Astyanax mexicanus: one gene and its partners. The protein of the gene in region 3 purifies or fractionates together with the protein of the main gene of each other region. This does not show direct contact. Links are inferred from orthologs where the notes say so. Each region holds a gene or a part of one and is shown on either strand. Other genes may lie near its edges. The genes, in order: fbxw5, phlpp2, wdr20a and phlpp1.

Region 1 (7,819 bases), on a different chromosome or scaffold from region 3:
ACCTTGACAGTGCAGTCTTTGGAACATGACGAGAAACGGTGTCCACGGTGAGAAAAGGCCAGGTGTAGGACCTGGTCATGATGTTCCCTCAGTGTCTGTACCTCTACGCATGGGATGCAGTCATACAGCCTTTTAAATTCCCTGTACCATGACACAGCCGCTGCAGAAAAAAAAACATAGAAAAAATTATGGTCCTTAACTACATTTTTTGTTCTCTTTGATAACAGGCCTAAGCCCCATGTTCCAACTTTCGTTGACTACCTCTTTTTTTTGTTAAAAAAATTAGGATATATTCACTGCAGATCAAGCATGAATGTGTATAATAATTCATAACAATTTTAAAATAGTAATATTATCTAGAATGTTAAAATAAATGCAAAGGCAGTGCAATATTTCTATCTGCAGTACCTGGGTGGCGGGGCACAGTGCGTGGGATGCGGTAGTAGCTGTAGAAAAGCTCCCTCCACAAGAACTCATCCCGAGATACAGCAAACCACTGCCGGCATGCCAGGCCAGCCCTCAGCACCGCAGCATGGGGAAGATGCAAGAAGATCTCCAGCACCAGGCTGTCTGGCAGGCCAGGACCATTCTCCATCCTGACATCCTGAGGGAGAAGCACAAACATCATCCTCCATTAGTTTTGGCAGTATTACTTACATTCTTGGTCCTGTACAATCAGCTCTATAGACTAGAAATCAAAACAGCACCTCTACTACCTGAGAAGACTAAGAAACGTTTTGGATATTTTAGAAAAGAGATAGAGATATAGAAATATACACACACAGTTTGTCTAGCCCTGTAGAAAAGAACTGTCAACAGAATCACTCTTTGGCGCAAATAAGCATAAATCTATAGACACTATGTCTATAGCCAGGTGTGGGCTAGAAGGATATAAAGCCCCCCAGTATTGAACTGTAGATTTTTGCTCTCTCGAATGATGGTGCCCCAATAATTTTAGGAAGAGTTCAGGAGATAAGGATGTGGTGGGATGGGGTTGCGTGTTTGTAACGATCATCCAACATTCGGACCTTACTAATGTTCCTGCTGCTTAATGCAATCAAATCCTTTAAGCAATACTCCAAAATCTAGTACTAAGACTTAATTAAACAGTAGAGACATTTGATCTAAAGTTTTTTTTTTCTACAGCAATGATTAGGAAACAATTAATGTGTCCCAAAGTCCTCCCAATACATAAAAAACACTGGCACCAGCCCACGTTTCCAATCTGTTCATTCAATAAATCAATTCTGTTATAGTAAATTTAATTTTATGCAACTGCTTACTGGACAATCACTATAAAATCAAATGTATCCTGTGGCAACTAAGAAAAAACTAAGGAAGTTTAACAGGGACTGGTAGTACTATTCTAAACAGACCCATCAAGATCATTTTCTAGGTGCAACATGACCACTTGCAAACATAGAAACTTCCAGATCATTTTCTCCCTTTCTAAATAAAGCAGAGGCAAGCCATAGCTCAGTGCATACATGCAGCTGCTTACAGAAGTAGTTAACCTACTAGTTTTTGTTTTACAGAGCTACTAATCGAAGTTTTAAGAACGCTAATCTAAGTTTTAAGAAAGGTTTATATGATGTATTAAAAGGTCCTTTCTAATTAAGAATATGTTCCCTTAGCATAATAAGATATCACATAGACAGGTGGATAGAAAGACAGAGAGATACCTTTACAGCATGTTGCCTCAGTAAAAAAAAAATCTGTTACCATAATTTAACAACCAATTCCTCTAGTGCAGTGGTTCTCAAACTGTGATAAGTGTATCAGTGGTGATGTATGAAAAACACTAAGGAGCTATATACCACCAAGTAAACTTTTTAATTTATCAGCAACTGAGTATTAGATCTAGGTATTAATTTAAGTATTAGATTAGTTCTAACCTCAATTTAATCGGTTTTCTAAATCCGCAGGCTGCAGAGCATCAAGTGCAAAACTACAAGACTGAGAAACAGCTTAATTCCAGAAGCTGTAAGACTCTTAAACTCCACCTAGCCAACACACTGCACTGACACTCTACAATGACAATTACATATTTAAAATTACACTGACACTTTAACCGCACAGTGACACTTTATTATTTTAAACTGTTCTTGCAGGTTGAGTATGGGAATAGTTAAATCAAATAACAACTGACAATTTAAGGGGAATATTTTAAGACTCTAGACAACTATAAAAAATAATATTTTTAGGTAATTATACCTATATAATATCTATCTTTGGGTTTACTACATTTCTATTTAAGCTAGTAAAAGTAGTTTACTGTGATACATCTATTTTATGCAATTACTCACTGGACAATTACTATAAAATCTAATGAATCCTGTGGCAACTAAAGAAACTCATAGACTTTAACGGGCTCTGGTAGTGCTATTTTAAACAGACTCATCAATGACAATGTCTTGGTGTAACAAGTAGATTAACCACTTTTGTAAGCAGATTTACTAGCTAACTTACTAACCAACTGAGTGATGAGAAACGTACAACGTTAAACAAACTTAACTAACCCTAGATCATCTTAGCTATAAACTCCATATGGAGATTATCGCTAGTTACCAAGGTTAACGTCCTTACCTACAGGCTGAAAGCCAGATATAACTTGTATTAAAGTATATTAAAATGTAGGACAAGTGTTAGAACATAAGTATTAGCTAGTTAAACCGCGTTAACTCTTTTAACCTGCTAATTTTCAGCGTTTTGTGTGTGGAGAGAATCAGCTTTCAGTGGAACTCGCTAAAAACAGAGCTAGGCTAGCTCTAGCTGGCTAAAGGGGTAACCGCTAAAGCTAACCTGATTATGTTGGGCAGCTCATAAACAGAGATTAAAACGCGCTACAGACACAGTTCAGGATTTATACTCTTCACACAGACAGTCAGTACTCCGCTCCACCGAGTCTTACCTGTCAAACCCCAGAGTTATGGAGCAAAACGAGAAAGTGTAGCCAATATCCGAGAACACCGGCTAACCGCCTAGCTCCGCTCCCAGACCTCACCAGCCGAGCGCCAGAAAACTGATAGAAAGGTGAGTAATCAGGCAAAGACTAATCAATACCCGATCACTACGATAGATATCTGTTATCTGACACTGCGCAGTTCCGCTATATTCCATTACTCCTTCTCCTTCTCCACGGGAATAATCCAGATCATCTGGGAAAGCGAACCCACTCTTATAAAGAGGAAAACCATGCTGTGCTGATTAATAATGAGCGGTAAGTTCAGACAATATTCAGTTTACCATTCATTCCTAACCTCTCATTCTTTAGTAACTTTAATTTAAGTGATGTTTCTGTATGACATAATATATGACATATAGCTAATTACAGGTAAAAAAAAAAAAAACGCCTAAAGAATTTTACTCTGGAAGAAAAACAGGAATAAACATTCAAATGATTAAAAAAAACAAAAACACTTTTAAATAAAATATAATTTAATGTTTAAGTAATATAACTAACAAGTTACTTTCTAATGTGTTATACTAGGATTTGGCCACAAGGCAATACAGTGGAGTTTCTGAATGACATATAGCTATATCTAACTAGGTAATGTGATATGATTTAAAATGACAGCTATTAAGCTTCTCTATTTTTCTAAATATTTGTAAATTTTTAATTTGTTTACCACAAGTGCTTCTCCACAGGTAAAATAAAGTGCCTAAAGAATTTTACAATGGGAGAAAAAACAGAAATAAACATTTAGATGATTAAAAATTACTTTAAAATAATAAAAAAATAAGATAGAAATAGAAATAAAACGTAAGGTTCTCAGTGTATTATAGCTAATAGGGTGTGGCCACAAGGCAATACTCTCACTGACAAAAAGAAAACCATTTAAAATAAATTATATAATTTAATGATTCAGTAATTTAACTAAAATGTTACTTATGGTTCCTAATGTGTTATAATAGGATGTGGCCACAAGACAGTAGTGGACTCTCTGTACGAAATATAACTATATCTAATTAGGTAATGTGATATCTAGGTAATGTGATATAATAATAAAAAAAAAGCTTTACTATTTTTCCTAAATATTTGTACATTTTAAACATTTAAAAGATCACCACAAGTGGAAACTACTCCACTGTTAAAACCTAGTTAGCAGGTTAAAGTATCTATCTATCTAAAGAAAGTACCTAAATAAATTTACACTGGGGGAAAAACAGGAATAAATAATCAGATGATTAAAAAGCACTTATATAAAAATAATGAAATGATTCAGTAAAATAACTAACAAGTTACTTAAGGTACCCAATGTGTTCAAATAGGGTGTGGCCAAAAGGCAATACAGTCATTGACAATAAAAAATAAAAATAAACATAAAGATGATTAAGAAAAACACACTTTTATATAAAAAATGAATCAATGGTTCAGTAGTATAACTAAAGTTACTTTAAGTTCCCAATGTAATATAATAGGAAGTGGCCACACAAAAAAAAACACTTTTAAATAATAAATAAATCAAATTGTTTTGTGGCTTTGTTCTAAGTAAACTGCATCACCTTTCATTGTCATTTATTTATTTATTTTTCAATATATGTTTTAGATTTTTCGTTATCTGTATGTTCGGGTAGGGTTGTAAGTTAGAGGGGCATGTTTAATTCTAGTCCCTGTTAATACCCTTCTCCTGTTAAACAGTTCAATAAATATATATTTAAAAAAATAAATAAATCAATGAATCAATAATATTCTTACTTAAAACTCCTAATATGTTAAAATAGGCTGTGCCCAAAGGTAGTACACTCACTGCCTCATTAAAAAAACAGAAATAAATATAAAAATTATAAAAAACTTTCAAATAAAAAATAAATAAATGGTTCAGTTTTATAATTAGCAAGTTACCTTAGGTTCCCAATGTGTTATAATAGGGTGTGGCCACAATAGAGTGGAGTTTCCGTATGAAATATAGCTATAGCTAACTAGGTAATGGGAGATATATATATATATATATATTTCTTATAGCATTTTCGTTGTCTCTTTGTTTGGGTTGAGTTGTAAGGAAGGGGGGCATTTAAGATTTATATGTGCTATTTGGGAGAAACGGTTTAATTCTATACCCTGTTTATATTCTTCTCCTATTAAAAGTTCAATAAATATTAACATTATAAAACATTATATAAAAAAAAGAAATTAATTATTCAGTAAAATAAAAAAAAATGAATAAACTTTCAGATGAAAAAAAATGCTTTTAAATTAAAAATAAACCAAATTGGTTAGTGGCTTCATTCAATGTAAACTGCATAACTTTTATGGTCTTTTTATTTTTGGTATTATTATTAGTTTAGTTAGTTCGATATCAGTGTATTATTTTATGGCAACTACGAAGTGCATTTGTGTCCTCAATATATTATGTTGTGCCCACACATTAGGGGGCAGATATATTATTATATTATATTATTAAGGAGTTGTTACTCCATTGTAAGCTTGTCAAGTCAACTAATATGTAAAATGAATCACATGGTTATGTATGCGTTCTGCTATCAGGACTTTGCTACCTGTGGGAAAAGCTGGCTGGCTGCTGCAGACCCACAGGAAGTCCAGTCACAAACACAGGATGACACAGTAACCGTACGTATGCCAAAAACCTTACAATCACATGAACTCATATTTCCAAGTTACCCATTACTGATTCAGTGACTACGGGAAAATGACACGCATATGTGTTTTTTGACTCCTCAGAGCAGCAAGTGTTGTCAGCATGGGAAAACCCCCCGCCAAGCCAGCAATCACCACCAGCCAGTACACTGCCTGTTGTAGCGGCTCAGTGGTTTAATACCTGGTGCTAATTGAGATGTTGAAATATTTTTTAATTGGGCGCCAGTTATTAAATTAATTTAATTAGATCAATTAATTAATTAATTAATTAATTAATTAATCAAATTAATTAATAACACAAGACATCTCAGGGTGTGGTTTCTACAGGTGACAGAAATTTTCATAACCAAGTTATCCAGAAAAACACACTGAAATGACAGGTTTTGTAAAATAAAAGTATTTATTAAATCACACAGATATGAGTAAATAATTCATTAAAAAGTCATAAATGTAGCCATTAGCTATCAAATCATAGTGTAGAATGATAAATGAGAAATAAAAGAACAAACACGTTATAATGCTGATATGAAAGGAATAAAGATTAATATAACTATTAAGTGAGTATTTCTAAATAAGGGTCTAAGGCATTTTAAGTCTACGAAACCAATTCTTATTTCCAACCAAGCCACTCAAAATGAGTCATCTATACTAAAGACGCTCTATTAAAGACCCGACCAAACCATGACCAACAGACACCATCTGCCGAAAGATTAAACCCAGCTCTGCCTTACTCTGAGTTGTTGAAGTGAGCCTTGGTGACGTCCGCCTGGGTTGGTCGTCTGCTGCTTCACCCCGAAAAAGGATCACGTGAGCCTGTCTGCAGGGTGGGTGGACTTCCTGTGTCAGCACGGAGCCCCAGTAGAACCCACAGGGTAAATCCCTTCGCTCTCAGGTGGCTTGCTGGTGGCCTCCGGACCGCAGGTTTCTGGGTTGGATCTGGCGGATCTCCTTTTCAGCTGTACTTTAGCTAAACTTAGATGGAATAATGCTTGGCTTCGTAGATTGTAAAATAACCTTAGATATTTTAACTAGGATAGCTAATATTAATATACTTGAAGATTAAATGCACTAGTCTAAGAAAACTAACTTAAGATGACTAAACTAACGGTCTATCCTTTCTCCATCTCTGGCTCCCTAACCTCTCTCCTCTAACTGTTTTCCTCAACTCATCTTCTCCAACTCCTTCTCTAACTGCTTCTCCTCCAACTGCTCTGACCTGAACTCCCAAAACTCAACTGGCAACTGAACTAAAACTGTGTCTGCCCAGTTTACTATTAGTCTCTGTGGCCTGTTTGGCCCCTGAGCTATGATTGGCCCTGTGGCCCAAATGTCTGTGTTTTGATTGGTCTAGGAGCAATTTCAAACTTTGGTGGGGATTCACAAAGGGCCATAAACCCCCCCTCCTCACATGGTCAACATGCTTCAGCATTTTTCTAATAGATCAAACCAAAAGAAAACTCAATTAAACAGTGGATCAAAATACCTTTTTCAGCATATCAGTTTGTGAGGATAAATTCAGGAAACAAACAATCTTACAATTGAATCACAATAAATGTAATATATATATATTTTGCCCACAAACAGTTTTGTAATACTCAAGATAATCTTAGGAATACAATGATGGATGGTACTCTGTCAGAAAGAGATCAAGAGTCATGTTATTATTTAAACCCAATTAAATCACTTAAAAGATAATACATGGTTAAACCACTGATAACCAAATAAAGCTAAATTATCAAATGCTAGTTAAACCTTGTTGATTCAGACTTGAATGTGTAGGAGAATTTAATCAGGACACATCCAAACACATATACCATTATCTAGTAAACATTCTATAAAACACCTTTTTTATATAGTCAATATATATGTATTTTAAGCAAAATCTTCTCAGTGAGAAATTCCTCTTCTCTGCTGAGTGTTTAGATAAGCGGCTGTCGTCGGAATTTACGACCGTGGGGGAAGTTGGTGAAGTTGGTGTTGGGAATGTAATTTCCAAGCTAAGAGCATTCATTTTAACTTCATGAATCTTATTTCTAAGTGGTTGCAGAAAGCACAAACCCCTAAATTGGTATAATATATTTGGTGAATTTACAATTTCCAAGGCATTCATTAAGTTTTGAACCCTCTCTCAAGTCCCGTAGTCCCGTCCTTGTCCTGGTGATTGTGCTGTTGGCAAAACCACAATTGTGCACAGTTCCAGATGTTTAAACATTAACGGTC
Region 2 (6,893 bases), on a different chromosome or scaffold from region 3:
TGACCAGCCTTGATTTTGACCACTATAGGGTATATATCCTTTAGTGTTTAATGGTTTATCTGGTCTACAAACATTATCATCTTTGAACAGAATGACTTCTGACGGGAAAGTGGAAGGAGTGGTGTGTGTGACCTCAAGCATACTGAGTTGCCCCCCCTGCTGAATATACAGCTCAAGTCGGTCATGCTGATGCTGTTTTTTGACCAGCCTTGATTTTGACCACTATAGGGTATATATCCTTTAGTGTTTGATTGTTTATCTGGTCTACAAACATTATCATCAGTACGCCTAAAATAAAATTCAACACACATTATGATGGTCAAGAGCTGGTTAACAAGTTAATTTACCTCTATAGTGCATGTTTTTGTCTGAAGAATAAGATTTTCAATCAGTTTGACTATTAAAGATCAGCTTAGACCATCCGAACCCTGCTACCAGCAAAAACCGTCCTTAAAACTGGATATTTCCACAGGGCCCTGACTATCTCAACTAGAATCCTACATCAGATGAATTTGGTGGTGAACTGAATGTCTGTTAAATGCTCAGAAATTGCTCAAGAGTAAAAAAAATATATTGCCTTGAAATTAGATAATTTTACTTGCTAAGTTTTTTTTTTTTTTTTGCTGTGTACAGCTGTATGCTAAACTAAACATCTTAAAATGTTAATATATAGTCATAACAACTGTTAACTATGTTTTTTTGTTACCTGAAAATCTGAAAAACATTACATTTATTTTATGAAGGTGTCAATATAGCCTAAAATCTAGCGATCAGCTTTTTGTATTTCGTTATCATCAATCATTTATCTTTATTTATTTGGTACTGTCACAGTTTATCAGATTAACCTCAGACATACATATTTAGCCACAAGGCTAACAGGTTCTAAAATCAACAGTTGGTGTAAGCTAACTGGTCATGCACTTTAGATAGCTAGCCAGCTAACAAACTACAAACAGTCAAACATGGGATTTAAATGCCCTTTAAATGATCATAAGATGCTTAAATGTGGAACTGACTGATATTAGTGAGTCAATATGGAATCTGTTGTATTTGGGCACTTTTAGAGACATAGGCCAAGTTGATACTCTTATACCTACATCTTTTTAATAGAAAAAATAGATTTAGATCATTTCACTTTCTAATATTATTTTTTTTTCGAAATGTAATGTTACTGCTCAACTGTATTAAACCACTGGTGTTTTTTATACATAGCCATAACAACTATGATATGTTATCTGTTTTTCCTGAAAAATTGAAAAACATTATGATCATTTTAGAAAAGTTTTGATAATGCTTAAAATCTAACAGTCAGCTTTCATTATTTCGTTATTATCGATCATTTATCTTTATCTACATAGTGCTTTCACAGTTTCAACTAAAGATTTACCTCAGACATACAGATTTAGCCACAATGCTAACAGGTTATAAAAGTGACAGTTGGTGTAAGTTAGCAGGTCCAGCGCTTTAGCTAGCTAGCAAACTAGAAACAGCGGATTGTGGGATTTAAATGCCCTTTGAATGTTCGGCAGTTGCTCAAATCTTTATCATAGAGAAAATAAGACTTATTGCATGGAAATTAGATAATTTTACTTGCTAATACTATTTTTTTTCTAAGTGTATGCTCAACTGTATTAAACCATAGCTGTTTTAAAAAAAAAATCATTGCAATTACTTTAAAAATGTGTCAATATAGCTTAAAATCTAGCGGTCAGCTTTCTTTATTTCGTTATTATTGATTATTTATCTTTATCTACATCCTGCTGTCACAGTTTAACAAAGGTTTACCTCAGAGGCGCAGATTTAGCCAAGATGCTAACAGGTTATAAAAGTGAAAGTTGGTGTAAGTTAGCAGGTCCAGCGCTTTAGCTAGCTAGCAAACTAGAAACAGCGGATTGTGGGATTTAAATGCCCTTTAAATGTTCAGCAGGTGCTTAAATCTTTATCATAGAGAAACTAAGATTTATTGCATGGAAATTAGATCATTTTACTTGCTAATAGTATTTTTTTCTAAGTGTATGCTTAACTGTATTAAACCATTGCTGTTTTTTAAAAACATTACAATTAACTTAACTTACTTTAAAAAGGTATCGATATAGCTTAAAATCTAGCAGTCAGCTTTCATTATTTCGTTATTATTGATTATTTATCTTTATCTACATAGTGCTTTCACAGATTCAACTAAAGATTTACCTCAGAGGTGCAGATTTAGCCACGATGCTAACAGGTTATAAAAGTGACAGTTGGTGTGAGTTAGCTGGTCGCGCGCTGTAGCTAGTTAGCAAAAGGGCGGGAAGGATCGGGGCGCTGGGTGTAAACCCGGTTAACCGGAGAGCCCGGCTCCTGTCAGGGTACAGACAGCTAGCTATCATCATCATCATCATCTCTCGCTGAACGGACGGACGGGTGGGAGAAGGGAGGGAGGGGGTCAATGGCGTTCCGAGCGAGGCGTTCTCGATGCTGTTCACGATGCTATTCACACACGTAGGCTGTTGCCTTTCGGCCCTCGTTAACGGGAACATCATCCCTCCGCAGCCGCTCGCTCACAGCTCTCGGTAACGGTAACCCAGCTAGCTAGCTAACTAACCGCATAACTAACTAGTTAACGAGATAAATAACTGACGCCACAGATGTGTTACCTTTAAAACCCGTATCCCCGTGGTGCCACCCCGGGCTGCCACAGCGCCGCGCTCTCCCGCCCCCTCGACAAGCCCCGGCTTCGGCTTGGTCCACGCAGCCTCAGCGCCAGCCCCCGCCGCAGATCCAGTCACCGCCACGGCCACCGCCGCGCCGCTCCGGTCGCCGTCCTCCACAGCAGCCCCGTTTTTCGCGTCCGCCTCGGCATTCCGCACCGGCCTCGCCGCGTTCTCCTCGTCCTTCATCCTCTCGCCTACATTTACGTCCCGTTTTCAACCCAAACGTCCAGATGTCGCGTCGCAGCTGACCAGCGGTAAATTCCAGCACAGGCGGCGGCGGAAAAAGCCCATCCTGATTCGGTGAGACGCCATAATGGGACCGAATCGCACGGCTGTCAGATCCGCGCTCAATAAACAGTAGAGGGCGGGGCTAATTATTATTCATGAGGCACTGCCCATTCCTGGGCTTCGGATTTAATGAATTATTCATGAGAACAGGAACGCCCAAAACAGGTGCTTCGTGACAAATGATAGGAAATATATAAAAAATCTTGTGTTTTTATCTCTTTTTATGATTCATGTTTTTTTTCTTTTTGAATACAATATTTTTTGGCCAGGAATTAAAAGCTATACAGGAACTACAGGTTGGCGATATTGCCCCCAAATAATATTTTTTTTATAAAATAGTATTTTTGCTATTAATTATTTTTTTGTACATATTATACATTTTTATTAATTTCAAGAAAATACTACTGCAAAAATATGTTTGTTTTCATTTTATTCAGCATAAATCTAAACGTTTCTATGTACAATCTATAAACATTTGTCTATTTCATAAAAAGTAACTTACCGAGACTTTAATTTTATATAAAATAATAGTAAACAAAAAAATAAATTGTAGGAAAAATAGCTTAATGTAATTACAGAACAACAAAACAATCTACATCTCAAAATTAGAAAATTTGCCTTATTTCAGTAATTCAGTTCAAAATGTGAAACTCTTATATTATAATAAATGTATTACACACAGAGTGATCTATTTTAAGCGCATATTTAGTTTATTGTGGATTATTTTGTCTTACAGGCATTAAAAACCCCAAAATTAGTATCTCAAAAAAATTAGAATATTATTTAAGACAAATTCTACTTTTGGCAATGTGGGCAGTGTACCAAGTCCTGCTGGAAAATGAAATCCTCATCTCCATAAAAGTTGTCAGCAGAGGGAAACATGAAGTGCTGTAAGATTTTGCGTGAAAACAAAACTGCACTGATTTTAGACCTAATAATAAAACACAGTGGATCAACACCAGCAGATGACATGTCTCTCCAAACCATCACTGATTGTGGAAACTTCACACTACTACTTTATTTCCAAATGAAATGTAAAATTTGCTGATGGTTAGTGATGGTTTGGAGAGTCATGTAATCTGCTGCTGTTGGTACCAGTAAACAAAAGTATATTTAGTGCCTGTGGATAAACTGCAAACAAACAATTAAAAATAAATACAGTAAATAAGAAAACAAATACAAAATAGACAGCTTCAAAGAATATTACAATATCACAATATGGAGGTATTTTTTTATATGTTCAAAAATTTGCACTATTTTTGCGTATGATACGATATGGCACATGGAATTATTTTGTGAACAACAACATAAAAAGGGGGTTAAACAAATGAGAATATGTTTTATACATTAGATTCTTCTAAGTACCACTTTCAATACTAAAACAGGGTGGTTATCAGTCCTAATCTATTAGTACTTCTACTCTACAGGACAACTGGACATGTAATGTATAATAATTTACATATAACAAAAAGTAATAGAGGCTAGTTTTATAAGACGTCACACTTATGTATATAGCTGTAAAAGATTTTATCATAAAATATACATTCAGTTTGATGTCATGCATCACAAAGATCATCACAAAGTCAATATGCTTAGTTTTGTATTTCATGGGCGTGTCTCATTCTTATCAAAGAGCAAGTTCACCTTGATAATATAGGCTTAACAAAGTTTATATATGGTTTTAAAGTTCAAATTTAAACAGTCCTGAACATGGTCACTTCATATGTCTCACACACACTTGTCAAACCACGTGTTAAAGATAAATAAAATGCCTCTAATGTTTAATATTTAACCTTTTTTGTACCAGCCCAACTAAGTAGAGGTGACAGGCCATATGCACTATGTAATGGGTGCTTATCTATATATAGAAAAAACAGACCTTAAACAAAGACCCACAAGGTAAGCCAACACACAACAACACAGATTCAGAGTAGAGACTTTACGATTGGGTAGTAAAAACTGTCCAATCCAGGCTATGAAGGAATCATGTAGTAAATTAAAAGTGTTAAACAAACTAAAATACCCTGTGAAGAAGCATTTAGGTGCTCTTATCTGGGGAGCTGTTAAGTTGCGGTTTCCATAGGTGGTAACTCTAAAGAACTTATCCTGTGCAACAAAGGAATCTTTTGCGCTTCCTTTCCTGGGGCGGTCCTGATGAGTGCCAGTTTCATCCTAACGTTATTAATGTTTTTTTGCTGTCTTTTTTTTCTTTACTTAGTTGAGTAGTTCTTGCTTCTCATAATCTGGATTAGAACATTACTCAAATATTCCCTATTCACTGTATACCTGTAACTCTACCTCTGCACTACTTTACTTTAACTGATGCTCTCAAACACTTTATTATGAGACAAGAAATTCAAGTAATTAACTCTTGACTAGTTCAGCTGATGAAGATGTGTCCTAACTTTTGACAGGTATTGTGGCCAGTGGACAGAGTTTACTTGAGGAAAATGTGTGTATTTTAAATCCATTTTAAGTCTATATGGAGAACAACAAACATACACTTTTTTATTTAAGGTAATGTCATTATTTATCTTTATTAAGAATTATATATTTAAAGTAACCCTAAATATGCTACATGTTCAAATATATGTTTGTGAATGCACCTACTGCTGACACATAGACGTCCTAATGCACACATAGACAGTGGTCTGAAAAAGTTTGGGCACCCCTGATCATTTTGATAATGATTTTCCTTTATAAATCATTGGTTGTTCAGATTAGAAATTTCAGTTAAATATATCATATAGCAGATGAACACAGTGATATTTGAGAAGCGAAATTAAGTTTATAGGGTTTACAGAAAGTGTGTAATAATCCTTTAAACTAAAATAGGCAGGTGCATAAATGTGGGGACCCCAACAGAAAATACATCAAATCAATATTTAGTAGATCCTCCTTTTGCATAAATAACAGCCTCTAAACTCTTCTTATAGCTTCCAATGAGGGCTGGCTTCTGGTTGAAGGTATTTTTGACCATAAGGGTGCCTGCATTTATGTACCTGCTTAATTTTGTTTTCAAAGAATTATTGCACACTTCCTGTAAATCCTATAAACTTCATTTTACTTCTCAAATATCACTGTGTTCGTTTGCTTTATGATATATTCAACTGAAATTACTGATCTGAACAACCAATGATTTATAAAGAAAAATAATAAAAGTTATCAGGGTTGCCCAAACTTTTTTTTAACCACTGTACACACAGCTTATCTAGTCCCTAAAATAGATAAATACAATGAACCTATTGGTGCCTTGCTTAATCTAATGGAACGTGTGGGCTAGATAAAAGGTTTTATGGAATGATGGAGCTCCATCCAATGCTTGAATGCGATGAATTGCTAAATGCAACCAAATCCTCACAGCAGTGCTTCAAAAATCTAGAAGAAAGACATCCCCGGGACACAACAAGATGACAGACTTGTTTTTAATACCCTTGATTTCAGAAAAAATCAATAAATTAATAGGCATCCCACAACCTTTATCCATATAGGGTTTTTAAGCCCAGTTTTTTATACTGAGTACACAAGAAACTCAATTTCAAACCTACTAGCAGAGGGATTTAGTCAGAATTGTAATACAAAATATTATTTTTCTTCGTATTTTATTTAGTTAAGCTATTTTAATGATATAGGGCACTTACAGAATACTGAGTGTTTTACTAAACTCCATGAAAAACAGTAAGAAATACTGTGATTTCACCTGTGACACAGACTGCAGCATTACTCCATTCCTCCAAGCTATTTCTACATCCTCCCTGTGAGGCACGTGAGAGTGGATGCTGTCACTAAGATGGAAAAGCACAAACCTTTAAACATGACATCAGTGCATAATGACTCAGTATTTTACTGAAACACACAATGGCTCTATACTTTATCATATCTGTCTTATCACAGACTCAGCAGTTCATCACG
Region 3 (7,063 bases):
TTTGGGTGTTGATAGAATGCATTTTTCCTAATACAAGGAGCAGCCACACCCAGTCCCAATATAAAAGGACAATATCACAATTATTCAAATGATTGAGGTCATGTCCATTTATTGAACGATAAGTCGATAATGTAGTTGTGACAGACCTTACTGCATGTCGAATTAATAGCTTACTTATCGTGACAGTCCTATTGTATTAATATTATATGTATGATGAAACATTTTAATTATGATATTGTTTTCTGTTATAATGTATCTTCAAATGTTATCCCTACAGTCCTATCATACACATACACACATATATACACACAGCCATCTCTTCCCCCTTTAACTTACAGCCAAATGTTTTTAGAACCTGCCAAACACACACAATCACACACACACACACACACACACACACAAACCTTTAGAAAATGCAAATCAAGTTTCGTACTCTTGCATATATTTTTTTTAAACAAATGAGTCACTGCCCCCGAGTGAAATATAAAGCTTTCAGTGTCACATGAATTCTTCTGGTATAAATGAACTGATTATAAACGCCTAATCAAATCACAAGCGCAGTCCTTAACCCTCTATGGCATGATGCTGCCCTGAGGCAACAAACAAATGTTTTGGATTAATAGATCACTCCTTTATTTTTTATCATCAGACATTTTCCTTTACATGTCAAGTTGGGGAATAAATGGGGTTAACAGTTCTATATATTGCATATAGAAACATAAATATATATATATTTTTCTTTTTTTTACATTTCATATATATAAAAAAAAAAACATGTAAATGTAAAAAGTAGATATGGCTATTCAGATTTGATTTAATTTACTTACTAAAAAATATACATTTCTTTCGTTGTCTCAGGACAGCATAATTTATGTTCATTTATAACTTCCTAAGGCAATCATGCAGAAACAGTGATTCTCAAATTGAACTAAGACTGGTATACACAAATGACTGATAATACACCCCAAAATGTAGCAGGTACTAGGGGTCCCTGTTGATATAACAAACAAATATAAACCACTGCTTGCCATGTAATTGCATAATGTTGCAAACAGTTTCTGCATCACAATTAATAGCTAAATAAGCTAGTAAACACTTTAGTTCACTGCCTGGAACTCTTGTTGTTTTCCTCTGTCTAAATCCTTTTGAAATGTCCTTCTCAGCAAGAACACTGTATTAACCAGAAGCAAAAGAAAAATTAACACTGTTCTCATTTCCCATTGTATATCTACTAGAGACAGATTATATCTGTCCAGTATCATTCATTTTTTTTATTTAATACTGGATATATGTAGAGCGCAATATTAGTGCCATGACATTCTGGATCATTGACTTCTGTTACAAATCTGATAAACTTCTTGTATTTTTCAATATCTCAGTTAGGGGTGTGCCATTACATATCATATGCAATAAGAACATTTTATATTCATTTTGATGCAGTAGTCTGTATTCTTGAAATCATTTTTTAAATTCAGTATTTCGTCATATATTCAAGAGTATCGTTATCGTGATGATACCATGAAATATCGTGATATTATTTTAGTGCCGTATCGCCCACCCCTAATTCCTATAGCATTACATCTGACTGTAAATCTTTATAAAGGGACTAATAGTATAACAACTTCCGTATCCGGCCCCCCACTGTAAATAAGTGTATCTGTATCCAACCAAAACATGTTAAAAACACTTGCAACTTTTTTTTTTATTTATTTTTTATTTAAACTGATAATTACTGATGAAACCTGAAAAATTGCAAACATATGATGCAACATTATCCGTCCTCCCCGTTTGTTTTCAAACGAACTACTTACTTAGCTAAGTTAGATAACGTCTACCAGTAACGAGTAGCTGGCTCACGCAGCTAACGCTAGCTAGCACACTCAACAACACCTGAAACTCAAACTATAGATAATCCACATAAAAATGCAGAAACAACGAGACCAACGAGATTAGCCTGTTTCAAAAATATCAAAACAACAGTTATACAACACAGAGCCTTATCATTTCACACTTAGGCATACCTGGTTACTCTGGAAAACAACATTAAAAGGACCATATCCCGGACTTTTAAACATAGTTAGCTAGCTAACGTTATTGCTCTGTCTCTAAGTACGCACACACACACTCATACACAAGTTAACTAACTAACTATCTGCCTGATAAACAAGCAGTCACCAGCGTGACACACAGCTCTCACGAGTTTATGAAGAAAAATGGGCGATCTGGAGCTCTGAGCTCTCCATCGCAGCTGATTCATTCGTCTGAAACAAGTTGAAGCCAAGCTAACCAAACTAACGCTAGCTAGCCTAGCTCACAGTGGACGACCCTGCTATAGCTCTGTGCCAACATGATCGCGCTGCTAATGTTAATCCCTACACGACGAGTGCGTAATTATTAGTTACGCCTAAATTAGCAAGGCTAGTTCGCTTTAAAAGCAGGCAGGGGTTTGAGGAGACTCGTAAGGGTACAGAAGGAGCGGAGAGTGTTGGTCCAGCGGTGCCCATGACAGGTGTACCTGACGTTAGGCCCAAACTGACAGCTTGTCGGTCGGCTGGCTCCAAGAGCTAAATTAGCCAAGGCAAGCTAACGTTAGCAAGCAGTCCACGTAAAAACGCCGAGGGAAAGCAGCCAAACAACGACCTCCAGACTTCTCCGGACTTCCATCAACTTTCGCCTTCAGCGAACTGCAACCTGACACTTTAACTGCGCGCGTGAGGGAGAAAAGAGCGAGAGCTGCGGCGCTGTTTACCTTTCGGACGCCTTTGTAGATGTAGAAATACAGCTCCCGGCCCACATTGAAGCAGATTCGGTCGCCGTTGCCGGACTGGTCGTTTACGTTGACAAACGAGACCTTGACGGGGTTGGAGCCCTGCGAATTGAAAGGCACCCGGTTGGGGCGGCTGTACTCGGAGTGCGTGAGGAGTTTGTACGCGCCTTCTCTGGTCGTGAACTGAGTTTTGATCTCGTTCATCTCCTTCCCTCCTCCCTCCGCCGCCATCTTTGAAATTTGCATTCATCCTGGCCCAAGCCCGGATCTTACGCGCCGCACATGCGCAGTACCGAACACACAGGCTACTGCGGTCAGTCGGTTTTAAGGGAATTTTATAATCCTTACGCCACTTATAAAGAGCATTAAAAAAATATAAAATACTAAAAATACTAACATCATAATAATAATATTGTAAAGAAAGTGACATAAATATTTATCTGTGGCACAAATCAGTTTCTCTGATTTTGCTATTTATAGGTAACATTATATGTTTGAGTAAAATAAACAATGGTATTTTATTCTGTAAACTATGGACAACATTTCTCCCAAATTCCATATAAAATATTGTCATTTAGAGCATTTATTTGCAGAAGGAACTGGTCAAAATACAAAAAAAAATAAAAAAGATGCAGAGCTTTCAAACCTCAAATAATGCAAAAAAAAAAATGCATCTTGGCATGTTCTCCTCCACCAGTCTTACACACTGCTTTTGGATGACTTTGTGCCACTCCTGGAGCAAAAATTCAAGCAGTTCAGCTTGGTTTGATGGCTTGTGATAATCCATCTTCCTCATGATTTATAATCAATATATATACATATTGTAAGCGCATAAGAACCTCACAAAAATAATTATTTTTAAGTTACCTGTTTTTGAAAATAAACTTTCAGTGCTGGGGGCGTGTCAGTAAAACTGCTGTTACTCTCTTGTGTTTTATCAGAGTGTTTATATTAATTTAGTCGTACCCGTGGTGCGCAGTAACAGGGGATGAGCTAGGGCGCTGAAGGCGACATTAGTTTAACCTCGCTGATCCTCAGACCCACCTTTAATTTACCTGAAGCCGCTGCACTCAGCCCCACATGGACCACAATGCCGAGCAAACAGCCACGACGCCGAGGACATGCTGCAGCAGGTACAGGCCTTCAGCATGAGCCAGAAAACGTATTTAAAATATTTAAATTATTATAGAAAGAAAAGATAAATATAAAGAAGTTGTTGTAGAGATCTTCTAAAGACTTCATACATTTACTAATACAGATTATACTCACAGGTGTTCCTGACATAAGATCTGATCAGAGAGACCCAGTCACTGTGGACAGACTGGCATTCAAATACATGGTTGGACTTCATTCTTATAGAAACCAATTCTACCACCTGAAAATAAGTCATAATTATGAGATATTAAGTCCTTATTTTAAGATAGTAAGCCATAATTATTAGATACTATTAGAATAGTCGACAGTCATAATCATGACATGTTAAGTAACTATTTTGAGATACTAAGTAATAATTGAAATACTAAATCATAAATATGAAATACTAAGTCATACTTGAGATACTAAGTAATCATTATGAGAAACTAAGTGATCATTATAAGATACTAAGTCATAATTATGAGATACCAAATAATCATTATGAAAAACTAAGTAATGATTATGAGAAACCAAGTGATCATTATGAGATACTAAGTCATAATTGTGAGTTACTAAGTGATAATTATGAGATGCTAAATCATAAATATAAAATACTAAGTCATAATTATGAGATATTAAGTAATCATTAAAATACTAAGTAATAATTATAAGATACTAAGTCACAATTATTAGAAATTAAGTCATAATTGTGACATGCTAAGTAATTATTTTAAGATACTTAGTGATAATGATGAAATACTAAATCTTAATTATTAAACACCAAGTAATAATTGAGATACTAAGTCATAATTATGAGATGTTATGTAATTTTTTAAGATACTAAATCATAAATATTAAATAATAAGTCATTATAAGATACTAAGTGATCATTATGAGCTACTAAGTTATAGTTTTTAGAAACTAAGTCATACTTGTGCGATACTAAATGAGATGAGATGCTAAATGAGATATTAAATCATGAATATTAAATACTAAGTCATTATTTTGAGATACTAAGTGATTATTATGAGATACTATGTCATAATTATGAGATGCTAAATCATGATTTTGAGATGCTAAGTCATAATTATGAGATACTAAGTCGTAGATACTAGATTTCCATAAATCTAGAGTGTTTTGACTGGTTGTGTGTTGTATTAGGAGATGTGTAAAGTGGATTCAACCTCAGACTCTGAGTCAGACACAAGCCCACGATGGTCCGACGCCAGCAGTAAGGTACTGACCCCAGTAGTGACCACCCCATTACAGGGAACAATTAAAAATGCACTTTTCTTTTATTTTATTACGTTTCTGATAAAAAAAAGGATAATGGCTAAGTGTCTTAAAGGAGAAATCTGGTGTAAATGACCTTATAGATATAGATATAATTTTTTGTCAAATAGCTAAGCTCCGTTTGTCCCCAGCATTCCCAAATACAGAGCTTTTAGAGCTTTGCTCCCAACAGGCTTACAGTGCTAGTGATAGGAGCATAGCATTGCTCAGGTAAATAAATCACTATTTTTTACACCGTTAACAAGCTCAAAGTAGCTCCACACTTCATTGGTAGAATTCTGAGGTTCCTGCAATCTAAAACGAGGTACTATGAACTTTGAAAGTGCACAGGTAGTTTATTAAACAACACTGTTTTTACACACAGTACCTTCAGGTAGTTCTCCAGGTGTCGCCATCTTAAAATTTATGATAACTCAACTGATAAATAAGTAGGATAGCGTAATAAATTGTAAAATTGGTTCAGTGGAAATAAATTAATGTTATAAAGATATTTTCAGCTACTTTGAACTTGTTTATGGTCTTAAAACAGTGATTTCTTTGTATGGGAACTCCATGCCCCTGTCACTAGTACTGTAAGCCTGTTGGGAGCATTGGCTAAAAACTATGTATTTCAGAATGCTGGGGGTGAATAAAGGTGGGCTATTTACTTAAACCCCAAGTCCATTTTACACCAGATTTCTCCTTTAAAAGAAGCTAAATTTACAATAAACATCTACTATGTAGGCACATGTAACTGATAACTGTAACTCAAAAATCAAGGTCCCAGCTTTCAGTGCAGGAGAAACATGAGAAGTACGTGAGAAATTTCAAAAGAAGTCTACCGTAATTGAGTCACATGCTAATTTCTGCTGTTTTATTTGTGACTAAAGATTATAAAATAATGGTTTGGTAAACAAATTTAGAGAGGCTGTAAGTAAAAATGAATGTATCGTTTTTAGTCTTTCCAGGGAGGAACAGGTCTTAAGAGGCCTACTCTACCACAGAAGCCATTTGGACGGCACTATCAACAGGTGAGTTGGGGATTTCTGGAACCAGAATGAGTTTGTTCAAGGTCTAGAGTACCAGTCAAAAGTTTGGACACACCTCGTCTTTTTCAATGTGTTTTCTTTCCTTTTTTATTTTTTACATTGTAAATTTAATATCGAAGGCTATATTAAAGCTCTACAGGCTAAACATGCTAAATTATTTTGTAAACCAAAGGTTCCTCTAAGTAGCACGTTTGTCTTTGAGGACAGATCTGCACACTCTTGGTATTTTAATCTCAGTGTCTTCATGAGGGAGAGTAACCTGGAATAGTTTTCTCAGGAAGGAAGGAGTTCCTGGAGGTGCTGAACAATAGTTGCGGCTTTTCCTTTACACTGTGAAGCTCTAGCTCGTCCTAAATCACCATCTCAGTTGATCAGGCTTGGATCAGGGCATTGTTGTTGTTTACTACATAATTACACGTGTGTCCCTTAGTTGTTTTGATGAACCTACAATGTAAAAAATATGACATAGAGAAAAAAACATTGAATGAGAAGGTGTGTCCAAACTTTTGACTGGTACTGTTAATTATATTTTGGTCATTTTTTAATTACCCTCCTCTCAAGCTCAGCACCATGGGTGACTGGCCTTTTGTCCTGCTGCCCCTCGTCTATATATTGCTCTTCCTGATAATCTGAGAGCAGCACAGACAATGAAGTCCCAAGACTCATGATTAACCTGTTGATTTTACTTGCTTTATAAGATTTTTTGTCTTTTGTTGTGATTGTTTTACATTGAACTGTGTTTATGAAAGTGTTAATGTAAATAATAATAATTTTTTTATTATTGCCACCAATGTGGTGGGGGTGGTTGGTGTGGTGCAGTGCATAACACCACCCCCTGCTA
Region 4 (7,124 bases), on a different chromosome or scaffold from region 3:
AAGATACAAATGAAAATAAATAAATAAATAAATAAATAAATACATAAATACATAAATAAAAAAGTCAGTGGAATTAACACTGATCAATACTTAATACCATCATACATATTTATCATCTTGTTCTAATATTGTATTCATCATAATATACTTAATATAAAAAGAAGATTGGTATGTTTCCTTACATTTGATTTAAGCTTTGTTTGTGTAGGATATTAATTCATATTGCTCATATTGTGATTCCAATGTTTCAATATTCTCAATTAATAAGGACTCCCCTTATTATGCTACTATGTTATTGAATTAGAGGAATAAATTATTAGTTTGTAAAAGTACAATAGTGTTGTATATTACAATATATCATCCAAACAAAAACAGTTAACTAAAAAAATATAATAAATCACATATATAGGTTAAAATATGATAACATTCTACTTTAAAACAATATTTTAAGCATCAGACATAATTTTCACAGTTTCTTATTCGTCTGATTCGTCTGACTCTACACAATTCTAAATCTCCCAGTTTCTCCAGAACAGAGAGTTTGACACTAAAGCGCTCAGGATGAGTTTGTTTACATCGTAAAGCTTTAATTAGGGAGAAAGTCTGAATAATGGATGAAATTCCCCTTTAAGTCGTTGTGGAGGTGAATCGGATGTGCAGTGCAGGTGGTTTACAGTACAGGCTGCCAGAATAGAGGTCCTGAAGCGACCCTAGCACAATCAGCACATTAACAACAACCACCAATGCCCTACATACACAGACTCTCACTGAGATGCCCACTGAACTTCTGGTGCAACAGGAAGACGTTGTTTCATCACAGATCCAAGGTGCTTCCCCTGATTAAGATGAACTGAGGTTAAACTGAGGTTAAACTACAGATACAGCAAGGTAAATTCCTGTCAAGTCATGTCCAGCTGCCTGGCCTGGATGAGTGAAGGAACATCTTCAAGGCTGCACCAAAAGTCCAGTACAGTCACCTTGCTTCACCACTACCTGCTTTTTCAAAGACCTGCATGTATAAAAACATTTCTGAGTGGCCCACTTGTTATCTAGGCTCAGGTATAGTAGCAGGTTACTCCTAATTCGTCCTCATCCTCAGGGACCCCCAAGAAAAGCACTTCTTTTCACATTTAAAAGCAAAAGTGACCTCCAGCTTTCTTTACCTGCATAGAAGCGAAGCAGTGATCCCAGCTCTGTATTCATGCCCTCTTCCTGCACCCTCCATGGGTCCTTAAATCCCAGTTTGAAGAGGAAGTCGTTCTGGATCTGCAGAGGCCTCTCATCTCGTGCCAGACGCCGGGCTGCCTCGCCATGAAGCTGCACGTAGAGCGCCGGCGAGGTGTCGTGACCCTCAGCCTCCTGGGTCTCCTGGTTCTCCTGGGCCTCCTGGTTCTCCGGAGCCTCGGGCTGCAAACAAAGGTGCTGGGAGTGACCCGGAGAGCCCGGATTAGAGCCAGGTGTGACAGGTGCCGGGCTCAGAGGCTCCAGCCTGTTCCCGTTCATGTCTGTTCCGTCTGTTATAACAGACGACTCTTGGGTCACCTGGTGGCCACCTGGGCCATCACCAGGTACAGGGCCATCAAGCTCCAGCTCGTCTGAGGAGCTTCCATAAGCATCCGGGCCCTCAAACGGTGGGCTGAGTACAGACGCATCGGTGCCCAGGATCATATCGTCGCTTAAAGAGTCTCTATGCTCGGTCAGCCGTGACCCCAAGCTCTGCACCGACCCCTCGCTGTTCCCGTTCGGCGTCAAGGGGCTGGCTGAGATGGACACCTCAGGAGAGTAAAGGCTGAAGTCGTCAGAACGTCCACTTCCTTCATCCTTCTCGAACAAGAAAAGTCTGAGTCTGTCATTTTGTCTATCATTTTGTCTGTCACTTTCCGGCCTCAGGTGCTCAAACCGAGCCGGGGCCAAGTCAGGGCCTTCCGCGAGAGGCCGCCCACTTCCTATAACGCGAACCACACACCCTACCTTGCCACCGGTGGTTTGACCAAGGCGCTGGGCGATCTCGCCCGCCGTGGTCTCCAAAGTGCACAGAACAGGCCGAGGGCTTGAGCGGTCCCACGACCTGTCGTGAACGTGTATGGCACCTCTGTGGAGGTCAGCTCGGACCCACTGCCGGTCAGAGGCCTGGAGCTGGACCACTGCGGCCTGCCGGTGCCTCAGCAGGGCCTTCCTGTCCAGGCTGCGCGTGTGCAAGGAGGAGGAGGATGAAGATGAGGAGGAAGACGAGGAGGAGGATGATGAGGGCACAGCAGCTGAGCTCAGCTTGGCAGAAGCAGAAGCGGCGGACAGATTTCTCTTGAGTCGCCGCCTTTTGAGCAGAAGGGAACTTGAACTGGAGCCGGTACTGGTACTAGTACTGGTACTTGTACCAGTACTTGGAGTCACTCGGCCATTCTTGGCAGCTTTTATGGTGGTTCTGTTGGGCTCTGATAATGGAGAGCGCTGGCCACCCTTCAGGGCATCCATGCGGGAGATCTCGGGTTTGGGTTCCACACCACTGGCACTGGTACTGATACTGGTACTTCCACTGTTACTGGCGCTGGCACTTGCAATGCCGCCGCCACCACCACCACTGACACCGCCACCACCCCCACCGTCGTCCACCCCAGAAGCTCCAGACGGGCCTCCAGGCTTCTTCAGCTTGCTGATCTCAGTACTGCTGGGTTTCCACGAACCTCCCGTGTTAGAGCCGCTCTCCGCCGGCCTGAATGCTGCCCGCGCACTTTCCATCTCCGCCAGCCGTGCAGAAAAACAGCGGCGGCGGCGGCAGCAGCGGCCACAACAACGCCACAAGTAGACGCGCCGCCTCCCGCTCAGCTACAGGACGCGCACCGCTGCTGTCCGGAGGAGCAGTCCGCCGTCTGAGCGGCGCCAGGCAGGTCGCTGCACATCCAGGTCCCGCCGCGTCCCGGCTCCCTCCCCGCCGCGGTAAACGGCCTCGGCTACTTCTGCTGTTGTCAAATCATGGAGACTTAACGGGGCAGCGGCGCGATCAACCGGAGGGGCGGAGCCGCTCCACAGAGTACACTCTCCATCCAGGGAGAGAGCGGGGCGCGTCCCAATCCGCGCACACTCGCGCCTAGCGCACTACGCTAACCGGAAACACACTACTTAGGGCGCTACTATGTTTTTTTTAAGACACTTAAACCAAACTTTAACTGTTTTAACCTGATAGATTATTTAAAAACATTTATTATCTAATAAAGCTATTTTTTTCTATTCATATCACAAAAAACATAAAAATAATAAATAATATTGTAATAAACAATAATATAAATATATGATTATAGTCATGTGCATTAGTAATTTAGGCTAAAATAAATGCAAATAAAATAAGACTTATTTTATAAGATTTATTATTAAAGTAGTGAATATAGTAGTAATAGTGAAATAAATTAAACATAGCCTACTATTATTAGAATAACGATTCTATTAAGTAAATGCTTTACAATACATTTACAATGTTTTTTATGTATTGAAAGACAAAAAAGAGACATAATATTGTTACAAAGTATATAAATAAATTATTTCAGAAATGTACATTAGTATTCTCAAATAAATACATATCAAAATAAGACTTATTTGTAAGATGTATTGTTTACTTTTGTAAATAAAAAAAAAACATAAAAAAATTGGGTAATAGTAATTTGGGTAGATTACTACCTGTAAATATTGGGTGTTTTATGTATTGGAAGACAATATAAAGATATATAAAAATAAATAATATTGTTAAATAAGAATATTGTTATGATTTCAGAAACATAAAAAACATTAAGAAACTCAAAAATAAAGCCTAAGATGTGCTTTATTGTTATTATGTCATCAAAATAATTATATTAGTATGAGTATATTAAGTATATTAGTATGACTGACAAATAATTGACTACATTCAAATATTTTCTAGCTCTACATCTTTTTAAAAACCTTTTAAAGGATATTAGACATTGTCATAATGTGATAAACAAAAAGTAATGTATGTATATGTTATGCATATATTGTGTATATAACATATGTAGGCTATACATGTCTCTAAATATTTAAATACGTATTTGATTTGCTCTGCATTATTATTTTTATAATATATAATTTGTGTTTAAAAATGATTAACACAATTAATATGCACAACTGGCTTGTATGTAAAAAAAAAAAAAGTCAAGGGAAAAAAAGAAAAATGTATCCTTAATGTTTATCAATAATATTAAATAGTTTATTAAAATACTTAAATAAAAATATTTAACCTTTTCTTTTTAAACAGTATCTAGCTAATTCAAACATTCAATTACATAAAACGATGATAAAAGCCCCAAAAACTCGATTAATTGCCATAAAACTGTGTATGTTTGTGTTTAAGCCGCTGCTAGAGCACTAAACACTAGTTACACACTATATATGGATCCTCACTAGTGCACGGAGACGCGGATTAGACGCGTCCACGCAAACATCCGACGCTCTGACGCAAACACGTAGCTTTGCATATTCATGAGGGAACTCCGTAACGGCGCGAGCTGCACACTTTTCATTTTGCTGATGGGAAATGTAGTTTTCTTTAGAGCAAGCGCGCTAACACTTCTTAGGAAGCGTGCGCTTATTTAAACTACATTTCCCATGATGCACTGCGCAGGGACAGCGACAGCGCGAGACCGTCCATTTCATTAGGCGGGATGTGCGTAGCTGTCTGGTGTTGATAGTTTTTGGGGTTTAAATCGTTTTTTTTAAAACGATTTAACGCTTTTTATAGCGATATAAAGCAGTGTGAGTGATAAATACAGCATAAAATAGTTTTCGTCTATATTTTTTAAATCGATAATCATGTAAAAATTATGGTTACGAGGGTTGAATTTTTGTATATTTTAGTTTATTTAATTTAAAAATAATATAAAGTTGTTTTATTAGTATTATACAGTGTGTTTTATCTGTTTAAATATCTGTAAAGGAGGATATTTGGAGTGTAGCGGCTAAAAATAGATTCGCCATCTTGTAGAGTAAAGTTTAGACCTCACTAAGAGGTAAAGAGCGCCATCTAGAGCTCAACAGAGAACACTACTGTTTCTACTGAAATCAAGGGTTTGTACAGGTGAAGAGTTTGTAAGGTAAGTTCTAGGCATGATGGGTCAGTGTAACGTTTAGCAGTTTATTTTCTGACTGTGTCAAGCTAAATTCGAAAATAGAAAAATTGGTATAAAACTATAAGCAAAAAATATATAATATATATATTTTCCATTCTGTAGAGTAAAAAAGAAATGGGTTTTCATCCAATTTTTCAATTATATAGTTTTTTTTTTATTTCAGCCTTTGGAAAACAAAGTTTCAAGAAAAAAATCTTCTCTCGATTTTCATCTTGTAACAAATACATGTCTTTAATTCTTGCAAAAGGCAAAATTAAAAGCTCAGAAAATAAAGAAAAGATTAATTTTATATTTTTTCTTGAAAATCCAATTGTGAAGAGCATTTATCATTTAGAGCATTTATTTGGCTCTATTTTAGAAATGGCTAAAATAACAAGATCCAATATTTGGTGGAATAACCCTGGTTTTTAATCACAGTTTTCATGCATCTTGGCATCATGTTCTCCTCCACCAGTCTTACACACTGCTTTTTGATAACTTTATGCCTTTACTCCTGGTGCAAAAATTCAAGCAGTTCATTTAATAGTTTGATGGCTTGTGATCATCCATCTTCCTCTTGATTATATTCCAGAGGTTTTCAATTTGGTAAAATAAAAAAAAAAAAACATCATCATTAAGTGGTCTCTTATTTGTGTATGTTTGGAAAGCCATGTCATCTGCTGGTGTTGATCCACTGTGTTTTATTATCAAGTCTAAAGTCAGTGCAGTTTTGTTTTCCCACAAAATCTTACAGCACTTCATGCTTCCCTTTGCTACTGACAACTTTTATGGAGATGCGGATTTCATTTTCCAGCAGGACTTGGCACACTGCCCACACTGCAAAAAGTATTAATTGGTCTTATATAATATTCTTAATTGCTGAGTCACTGATTTTTGGATTTTCATTGGCTGTAAGCCATAAACATCAGCAATAAAATAAATAAAAACTTAAAATAGGTCACTATGTGTTTAATACATCTATATAATATATGAGTTTCACATTTTGAACTAAATGATTGAAATTAAGTAACTTTTCAATGATATTCTATTTTTTTAATGCACTAGTAGATTATCATACTCCAGCACGGTACTGTAATAGCAATGTGTAAATTGAGCATTACGTGTTACCTCAGGGAATGGTTGGCTTGGGAATGCCTACATCTGTATAAGTTGTGAGGTGTTACCTTGTGAGGGAAGCAGTGGAGTAAATAAGGCTACTCAGGCTGAGGTTTTGGTCATGGCGTTTAATGAAGATAAAGCAATCATTTGAACACTGGAAGCTGAATCATCTCCCAGCCAAAAAATAAAAGGGTGCGCACACACACTCACACACTCGTCACACACACATACTTATCACACACAGAACACACTCACTCACTCCTCCTCCAGACGTGTGTATGAAAAAGAGAAACACTTCTTTATTGCTGAATAATTCACACATCTGGCCCAGCCTGTCCAAACCGAGGACAGGACCAATAGTTTGTAGATGTTTCAATTTTAAAAGGTTTGTTTTAAAAAGGGTGTTTTAATGTGATAAATGAATGTGGTAAAGTCTAAATCTGGATCTGTGCCGTCTGTGCATACATAAAAAAAAAAACATGGAGAAAAATAAAATACTGTTATAGAATTATATGAAGTTCAATACTTTCTGTTGAGTCTGTCTTTTGACCTGAATCCTTACCAACTACTATAGTTCTATATATCCTTAATATTACAATGTATTATCTATTTAAATACTTTAATGGCTTTTGAAATACAAGATTAACCTGTTGTAGAAGGTATACAATATATAGTAGGGTCAGTTTCCAAAACAGTTTCCAAAAGGGATTAAGTCTAGTCCAAGAATATCATTAAAAAAGTTACTTTATTTCAGTAATTCAATTTAAAATATGAAACTCATATATTATATAGATGTATTAAACACAGTGATCTATTTTAAGCATTTATTTGTTTTATTGTTGATGGTTATGGATTACAGCCAATGAAAACCCAAAAATCAGTGTCTCAGAAAAT

What was found.
Region 1: the proteins of wdr20a (region 3) and fbxw5 purify together in Homo sapiens (co-immunoprecipitation; 3 studies listed by BioGRID and IntAct, counting the BioPlex papers as one, with this or other methods). This does not show direct contact. The link is inferred for Astyanax mexicanus from reciprocal best matches to the Homo sapiens genes WDR20 and FBXW5.
Region 2: the proteins of wdr20a (region 3) and phlpp2 purify together in Homo sapiens (affinity purification with mass spectrometry; 4 studies listed by BioGRID and IntAct, with this or other methods). This does not show direct contact. The link is inferred for Astyanax mexicanus from reciprocal best matches to the Homo sapiens genes WDR20 and PHLPP2.
Region 4: the proteins of wdr20a (region 3) and phlpp1 purify together in Homo sapiens (affinity purification with mass spectrometry; 4 studies listed by BioGRID and IntAct, with this or other methods). This does not show direct contact. The link is inferred for Astyanax mexicanus from reciprocal best matches to the Homo sapiens genes WDR20 and PHLPP1.

The regions. Positions count from the first base shown.
Region 1 is NC_064408.1:19,868,346-19,876,164, reverse strand, and holds the start of fbxw5 (F-box/WD repeat-containing protein 5), read right to left. Parts: upstream 3,016-7,819; 5' UTR 2,912-3,015; intron 605-2,911; 5' UTR 596-604; coding exon 409-595; intron 161-408; coding exon 3-160; intron 1-2. UniProt on the Homo sapiens protein: Substrate recognition component of both SCF (SKP1-CUL1-F-box protein) and DCX (DDB1-CUL4-X-box) E3 ubiquitin-protein ligase complexes.
Region 2 is NC_064423.1:38,447,794-38,454,686, forward strand, and holds the start of phlpp2 (PH domain leucine-rich repeat-containing protein phosphatase 2), read right to left. Parts: upstream 3,026-6,893; 5' UTR 2,880-3,025; coding exon 2,637-2,879; intron 2,390-2,636; exon of another isoform or gene 2,191-2,389; intron 1-2,190. UniProt on the Homo sapiens protein: Protein phosphatase involved in regulation of Akt and PKC signaling.
Region 3 is NC_064421.1:44,984,692-44,991,754, reverse strand, and holds the start of wdr20a (WD repeat-containing protein 20), read right to left. Parts: upstream 3,024-7,063; 5' UTR 3,014-3,023; coding exon 2,750-3,013; intron 1-2,749. Other genes in the region: uncharacterized protein LOC103042329, read left to right, coding at 3,858-3,900, 4,039-4,106, 5,063-5,137, 6,133-6,204. UniProt on the Homo sapiens protein: Regulator of deubiquitinating complexes. Activates deubiquitinating activity of complexes containing USP12. Anchors at the base of the ubiquitin-contacting loop of USP12 and remotely modulates the catalytic center of the enzyme.
Region 4 is NC_064415.1:8,447,752-8,454,875, reverse strand, and holds the start of phlpp1 (PH domain leucine-rich repeat-containing protein phosphatase 1), read right to left. Parts: upstream 3,026-7,124; 5' UTR 2,737-3,025; coding exon 1,164-2,736; intron 1-1,163. UniProt on the Homo sapiens protein: Protein phosphatase involved in regulation of Akt and PKC signaling.